Oreochromis niloticus: one gene and its partner. The protein of the gene in region 1 interacts with the protein of each later gene in a biochemical or structural test. Links are inferred from orthologs where the notes say so. Each region holds a gene or a part of one and is shown in the gene's direction. Other genes may lie near its edges.

Evidence for each region.
Region 2: the proteins of tie1 (region 1) and angpt1 interact in a biophysical measurement, tested with the Homo sapiens proteins (2 studies listed by BioGRID and IntAct, with this or other methods). The link is inferred for Oreochromis niloticus from reciprocal best matches to the Homo sapiens genes TIE1 and ANGPT1.

The regions. Positions count from the first base shown.
Region 1 is NC_031981.2:32,931,791-32,935,714, reverse strand, and holds the start of tie1 (tyrosine-protein kinase receptor Tie-1), read left to right. Parts: upstream 1-1,278; 5' UTR 1,279-1,525; coding exon 1,526-1,589; intron 1,590-2,465; coding exon 2,466-2,762; intron 2,763-2,917; coding exon 2,918-3,025; intron 3,026-3,120; coding exon 3,121-3,276; intron 3,277-3,896; coding exon 3,897-3,924. UniProt on the Homo sapiens protein: Transmembrane tyrosine-protein kinase that may modulate TEK/TIE2 activity and contribute to the regulation of angiogenesis.
Region 2 is NC_031985.2:14,962,235-14,966,158, forward strand, and holds the start of angpt1 (angiopoietin-1), read left to right. Parts: upstream 1-1,746; 5' UTR 1,747-2,211; coding exon 2,212-2,604; intron 2,605-3,924. UniProt on the Homo sapiens protein: Binds and activates TEK/TIE2 receptor by inducing its dimerization and tyrosine phosphorylation.

The DNA.
Region 1 (3,924 bases):
ACTCATGAGGGTGTGCAAAACTAGTTTAAGGGTACACTTTGTTGCACATTGCTCTACTGTAAACTTTACTGTCTTCCAGAGCAGTAAGAGCCTGTTCACGTGACATTTCACTATCACTGCTCTTCTTTATTCTGAAGCACATGCAGGGGAAATAGGAGGAAATAAGAAGTTTTGATTTCTGTGCAAATAAGGTCACACTAACAGGACAAAAGGACCATGCCTCCCACAGCCAACTGTGAACTTGACGGCCTTTTGTTTGCCACAAGGCCAAAATGGAATCACTGTAACGTGTAGCCAAAACAGTGAACCTGTGTGTACCCGTTTCAACTTTTGATCCCCCCCCCCAACTTGAATCAACAGCACATCTCTTTATTCTGGATAGTATTTTGACCATTGTATATCGTTTTATTTATCCATTAAGTATCAACACTTTCCAAAGCTTATAAAATTGCAGTCTTTGTTTTTTTTTTGTTTTTTTTAGGGAAGCAATACAATAGAATGTTCCTTGCAGGCTAAAACAGCCTGTGTGTGCTCCCGAAATTGAAAACAGGAAATCTCAAACAATAAGAAGTTGTGTCAGGTTGTCTGAAGTTGCAAGGGGGAAAAAAACACCACACAAGTCCTACAGTTTTTGTGGAGAGAATTAGAAAAGGCGTGTTCATTTTTTTCAAAACAGACCTAGCAAAGTGAGAGCACTTTCAAAAAGTTGGGGTCTGAATAGACACAACAAGTATATTGTTCATCATTTCCTGAGGCTGACTGATTGTGAAGGAAAGAGACTGACTGGTCATAAAAGCTGCAGGGTTTGCGCGCTACTCATTGAAGTGAAAGAACAAAGCTGTTGCATTTGGCAAAACGTGATTTTGGCTGCCAAAGTATTTGGTATCTGCGCAAGCCGCATCAAGGGCAGCAATTAGGTACAATATCCGCATTGAAAGATGTTTGGGAGGTGCAGGGTATAGTAGTCAATATATTTTAATAAAAATGCATTTATAACTCCTCAAACAGTGTATATTTTAAAATGGTCAATAGCTGACATTTCATGTTTTTTGTTGTTGATGAAACCTAAAAAAGTTTCATCCTAAATCCATCGTGCCACAGAACAGCCGTTTTACTAAATCATGATGTTCAGTGTATGTAAAAGCAATCAGACGACTGCTTAACGTTCAGCATTGTACTGGAAGAAAAAGTGACAAAATTTGAAGTCAGAAATACACTAATCGTGGATCGGGGAGGTCTGGAGCGCCAGCAGTCCTCCGCTGTCTGGTGACGCTCTTCCTTCCTTTCCCACCCAGAGAAAGCTGAGCTTCACCAAAAGTTAGACTCTCTGCTTAGAGTGACAGTAGAGTGATCTCCCAAAACCAGCTGGTTACCGACGAGATTTTACAAACCGAACGGGAGAATTGGAGGCTTCGACGAGTTATGCGTAAAAAAGCGCACCGTCGTGACGCAGCGTCACCGTTTTGGATGTAGAGCTCACCCTAAAAAGAATCACACGCCGGCAGTTGAATTCCAGCTTTCCCCAATGAGGATTACAAATACCACGATGATTCTGTGGGTGTTTGCGTTGTGCTTCTTTACTTTATCAGGTAAGAGGGAAACTATTTCAAAACCTGTCTGAGTAGCTTACGGACCTAGAATATTTTTGAGAAATCTTATATTAAGGAGGGGATAAAAACTAACGTCCAAGTTATACAGAGATAACCCAACCTTGATCCACTTATAGTTTTTAAGCAATTTTTTTCGTTTGTCTGAGACCTTGTCAGCACAGCGCGTAGATCTATGTACCCTCAGGGAATAAGGAGCTCATCCATGTTTCCTTCCATTGTTCTGTGGATTTGGGGCTCACATACCAGGGAGAAGGAATGCTGGGCAAACTCATGTTATTGGATTTGGCACTTTTGTTAATGCATCATTCCAAGAGGCGTTTATGTTTGAACCCAAACCCCAATCGGTATTCTCAGTAATCTGTAATTTTAAGTCGAATGATCTTCCCCATTTAACGCAATATGATAATAAGGCGTTATTAACCAAAAAAAAGAGTTACAACACATGCTTCCCTTCGATTCAATATTTATTCCATGTGTCTGATAGATGAGTTTTATGAAATTAAGTTGACACAATCATCTTTAATTTAATGCAGAACTTCAAATCTGACACTTGATCACAACTGGAATGAAACAGTAGTTCCACACTGCTAACGACTGAGCACTTTAACAGCTCCAAGATGACCATGGAGCAATTTAGTAATGTGTACATTTCTAGGGAAAAGTAATACAAATTGAAAAAAAGCGTATGTATTTTCTGTCACTGTGTGAATCACTTAACATTAAAAATAATGGGTCTTCCCCCTGAAAAGACAACTCTCCATCTCTCTGAATAATTAAATAAGGTTTGTTACACGTGATTAAAAAAACTCACACTGTTGCCTTACATCAGAGAATGACTAATGCTCTGTTTTACAGATGCTGTGATTGACCTGACCATGTTCTCTGCAGCCATGATCAGAACCCCCGAAAACTTCTCCATCTCTTGTATCAATGGAGAGCGCAACTCTGCCCAGGCTGAGTTGGGCATTAAGAAGGACAACAAAATCCTCATGTTCTCCAGTACCCCACAATATAGGGTGCACAAGTCCGGAAATAAAATGGTTGTGGCCAGAGACTTTAGTCACCTAGAAAGCATTGGCATCTTCTACTGTGAATCTTCTCAGGAAGTTGGCCCAGTTGAAAAGATCACAATGATTAACAACCTTGACAACGGTGTGTTTGCACTTCACAAAACAAGACTTTCTTCAGAGAGATTTATTTTATTGCTTAAATCTATTATGCATGAAATACATGTTTAAATGCAACTACTTTCAAGGGTGTGCCATTAAAAAAAAAAACAATAACAGCGTCTTTGTTCCTTACAACAGATTTCGTTCCAAATTCCCTCACACTGATTGCTAATCTAGGTGAGACAGTTAACCTCACTATGCACTTGATCAACTCCCAAAAGAGAGATGTGACCTGGAAGTACAACGGTGAGTCAGCGTATGCAACTCGGTATAGAGGAAGGAAATTTTTGTGCAAACGCAGGCTCAAACAATGACATTAATGTTGTCGCTTGTTTTTGTAGGAAACTACTATTATATGACACACTGGAACGACATGATCAATAAAACTGCTGAGCTAACGGTGGAGAATGTAAAGCTTGACAATCAAGGTATCTACAGTGCCAGCTATGTTGGAGACAGCCCTCTCAAGGGTGCCTGGATGAGGCTCATTGTCAGAGGTTTGTTGGGTCTCACACACACAAACACACACACACACACACAATCAATCGGTGTCAGATTAAATCAAGAGTTTTGTAGCATTTTTTGGCTCAGATGTTCAGCTGAACTCACAAAGGATTACACAAGACATGCTGAAGTTGACTCAGTGCGCGTTCTGCTAGACTGATTGAGATGCAAGAGATTCCTCAGCTCAAAATCTTTCTATTTAAATGGAAGCTTGTGGAAATCTAAGTTACTGTTAAATACTAGCCTACCCTAAACTGTGAATTCACTATAGGCTACATCTGCACATTTTATTTGGCAAGGCATGTGCAGCACATATGTTTGTGTCATTTCCTTTATCTCAGTACCCCAAAGAAAAATTACAGCATTAACACTATCTCCACCCTCCACCTGCAGCCGGCTTCTTCTTTGTTGTCTCCACCAGATGCACATTTTACTGTAATTTAGCATGCATTCAGTACTATGAATCCTTTTTTCATTTAAATAGGTCACATGTGCTTAAAAAAATATCCAAAACAGAATATAAACACACAAAAGGCGAAATACACGTAAATGCTATCGAAGGTGTTTGAAGTCTCTGTGCTGTTCTAAGTAAAGAATCTGTGTTTCTTTGCAGGTTGCCCCAGTCAGAAGTGGGGTCCTAA
Region 2 (3,924 bases), on another chromosome or scaffold:
ACACAGGATTATGCAGAATACTGTGACATGTACTGTAAGTATGCATAAGCAGAAGGATACACATAAACATACGCTGGATACAGTATTTGCACATACATCACACACAAACAGAAAAACAGACACACTCAAGCACGTACACAAATTTGAATGTCTTGAACTGACGAGGAATGTTGAAATTCAGCCAGAAATCAGACAGCTGTGTCTCCCGGAATCAGAGATTTTAATAGGCTGGCCGTAACAAGGACTTGACCTTTAACCCAGGGTCTTTCAGCGCTGTGTTTCCTCACTCTGCCCCTTGTTCTGGCTTAATGATAAAGAGGCATTCCATCTATCCCCTGCTCATTCTTGGATTTCACTTTTGTTTTCATGAAAACGTGACACTGGAAGGCATGTGATATACTTGTGCATATGTAAACTCTTAGTTAAGATACCAAGCAAAATGACACCTAAAAAGCCATATGATTTTAAATCTGGAACAAGCCATAATAATTACAGTTTAATAATCCGTTACTGTACAAATTCAGTGGACAAGACCTCCCATAGTTCAGGCTCCACACAACCATTTTTCAACCAGATGTGTCAGGTCTTCTACTGCATAAAGAAGTATTGGAGACAAGTTGTGCTCACTGGCGCAGACTGACTCAGACTGATTGCAGTGCGTTGGCAATCTGTCTGCATTTATAAACTAGACAGTGAGTATTTGCAAACTTTCTCTGAGTGATTGTAGTCTGCCTGAGTCAGACTGCAGTTGTTTGGAGACAGATTACCCAGGAGGTGACCTGTGCAATCAAAAGTGGTCACGAAGAGGTTGAGGATGTTGCACCTCCAGTCTCTGAGCAACCAGCTGGTCGTGGCAACTACTTGCAGTTGGTTGCTGAATGCAATGCAATACAATGAAATCACTGGGAAAAACATGGTTTTTATTAGTCATAAGGAGGTTGCTGACTTACGTTTGCCATTAGTAAACTTAGCGCATGAGAGTAGACTTTATCCAACCACAGGTGCTTTGTGACTGTGTACTGAATTTTTACTTTACTCTATAGTACATATTAAATAGTTGCATGTACATATACGTATATACTACTTACAGTATATATAGTGTCAGACAGACTTAGCAAACATTAGCAAAATGATAGAATGAGAATAGATAGCATTTTTGGTGTTTGAGTGCTCTCTAATAGTATTTTAAATTTACTGCAACAAATTCTATGGAATGAAACATACTTAATATCTTGTGGTAAATGTAGCTCAGGCTTATGGTTTGCTGACCACTAGCCACTACGTAAGTTTGCAGTTTGATCCTATGGCTACTTCCATCTAGGTGGTGCAGTTTATAAAAAAAATGCTTGTCCTGACTGTGGATTTGTACTTTCAATAGATAAGCAGAAGAACATATAAAGCTACCCCGAGCACAGGTGACAGGTTAGCACCTGTTATTAGCTGAACAGGGAGAAAAGAAGAGATAAATTAAATGCGTGCGTTCAAATTATTATTATTATTATTATTTTTTTTTTTACACAGGCAAGGGAGCAGGTCAACCACATAAACCGGCCTGAAAGCTGATCCCCACAGTGTAAGCATGTCCTCTGTGCTGAGGTCTCTTTCTGCCAGGATCACTGGCTCGCGCGCGCGCACACACACACACACACACACACAAATGCGTCCATGCACAGAGTCACATTCCTCTGCAGGCTCTGCGAGGGGCAGGCGCAGAGTGTGCTGGAAGCTTGGAACTGCTCTTCAGAGTGAGCGTCTCCCTCTCTCTCTCTCTCACTCTCTACCCCCAGTCGTTAAGTTTGCGAGCAGAGGAGGAAAGGACGGCAGAGAGACCAGGGGAGGTCTGACGACACTATCCCAGCATACCCAGCACCTACTTTAAATGCACACTCTGATAAACGCAGGCAGGCTCTGATTTACTGGAGGAACACCAAGAAATATAACCAAGCTGTCACACTCCAAGACATGTGTGCAACTTTCCCTGCCAGGACACAAACTTAAGAGGAGGTTTGGAAACATAGCATGTGTGTCCCGTCCATGGCAAAAAAGTCTGCATGAACTCTGACTGCTGGAGGTCCAACTTAAGGATGGAGGATACATGTTTCAGGCTAACGTTTTCTGATTCAGCCCTTAAGAGAACATCTAGTAAAGCATAGAAGGGGAAACAAGAGACACAAGAAATTTAATCACCCTCAACAGCGCTTCCAGGCTGATATGATGCTGTGGTACCACTACAGTCGTCACCTGCTGTCGCTGGCGGCGCTTCTGGTGATCGTGAGCTGCGGAGGAGGTGAGCAACGGAGAGGGACGGACGGCAGCAGCAGTAGCAGTAACGGAGGGAGTACTAGTAGTAGTAGCAGCAGCAGTAGTAATTCCAATAACAGACGTTTTCATAAGATCCAGCATGGCCAGTGCACCTACACCTTCATCCTACCTGAGGGAGAGGGAGCTGGAGGAGGCTCCTGCAAGGAAGCGAAGGCCAGTAGCTCGCAGTACAACGCCAACTCTCTCCAGAGGGACGCTCCACCACCTGAGCCAGACTTTCCCAGCCAGAAGATCCAGCAGCTGGAGAACGTTATGGAGAATTACACCCAGTGGCTACAGAAGGTAAGGAGGAACTGTATGTGGAGCATCAGGTGCTAGACCTCTCTTTTCTTTTAAACATGATCTTGGCTTAATGATAAGCTGAAATAAGAACGCAGTGGAATTTTCCTGTTTTAATTAGAACCACGCAGAAAATCTTAGAATTACATCTGCATGAGTTTTTTCTTTTGAAGTGGCCACGCTGCTGTGTGTTATTTGTTGAGATATTTGTGTCTGCTTGGGTGTGTGGTCTCCCCGGAGCGTCTGTTTGTAGCTTCACTAGATACCTTGTTTTGGTTTGTGGACGAGGCTGTCAGACTAAAACCATGCAGTGTTTGCTGTTTTCATGTAGTCGACACATAGTTTGTCAAAGTGCTTGTCAGTAGGAGAGTTTATGTGCCTTGGAAAAGTGCAGCTTTCTTTTACCCGTATCCCCCCCAAAGGGTGATGCTGTGTGGCCACTTTCAAAATAAAATTCCAGAGATTACCACATAAAACACTGACAACATCAAAAATGTTAAAATGCACGGCTGTCAACTGGCTGACTTACACCTCATAACTCCTTCAGTTGTTGAGAAAGCAGCCTGGTCTCATAGTGGCACTAATCTTCTTTGCTTCTGAGTTGACAAACAGACTTTTATTAGTTAACAAAATATGTGTTTTTGATAACACACAAAAGAGGACAGACTGGGGTATTTGGTTACGTAACTGTGTACATTGACTGCACTGAACTTTTCGTTCTGGATGTCACACAGCTGTCCGGTTTTCACGCACAGACATCTCGTACTGCTGCGTCTCTGTCTAACACATCTCTGTTTTCCTGACGTCTTCCTACTTTTCTCTGTGTTAACCGCAAAATTCCACAGATGTCCTTTTGAGTCGCATCGGTCATACAGCAAAGGTAGCTATATGTCAGTCACCCCCTGCTCTCCAGTGGGCCGTCTCTTTAATGGCAGGAAGTCAGAGAGAGCCCCAAGAGACTCAGAGAGGAGGAAAAGACAGGGAAGGAGAACGCTCTCTTTATTTTTGTTCAAGTGTGAGTTTAGCCTGAAAATCCAGATTCATATAAAAGAAGTTTTATGTGAACATTTTTATTGGAATAATTTATTGGTTAAATAACTCCTAAATTAAATCCCTTTAAAGGGAATTTGAAGATCTGTGAGGTGCTATGTTCAAATATGGTTCTTGTGTGATGTTAATAAGACGCGAATTCTGAAGCCATATCTGATACGGCTTGGCAGGCACTCTGCTTTTTCAGGCTTTGAGACTTTGTGTCTCCGAAAAGCCCAAGACCGTCTCTCTGAAATGAATACATGATTCAAACAAACAAACTTCCAAATTTGG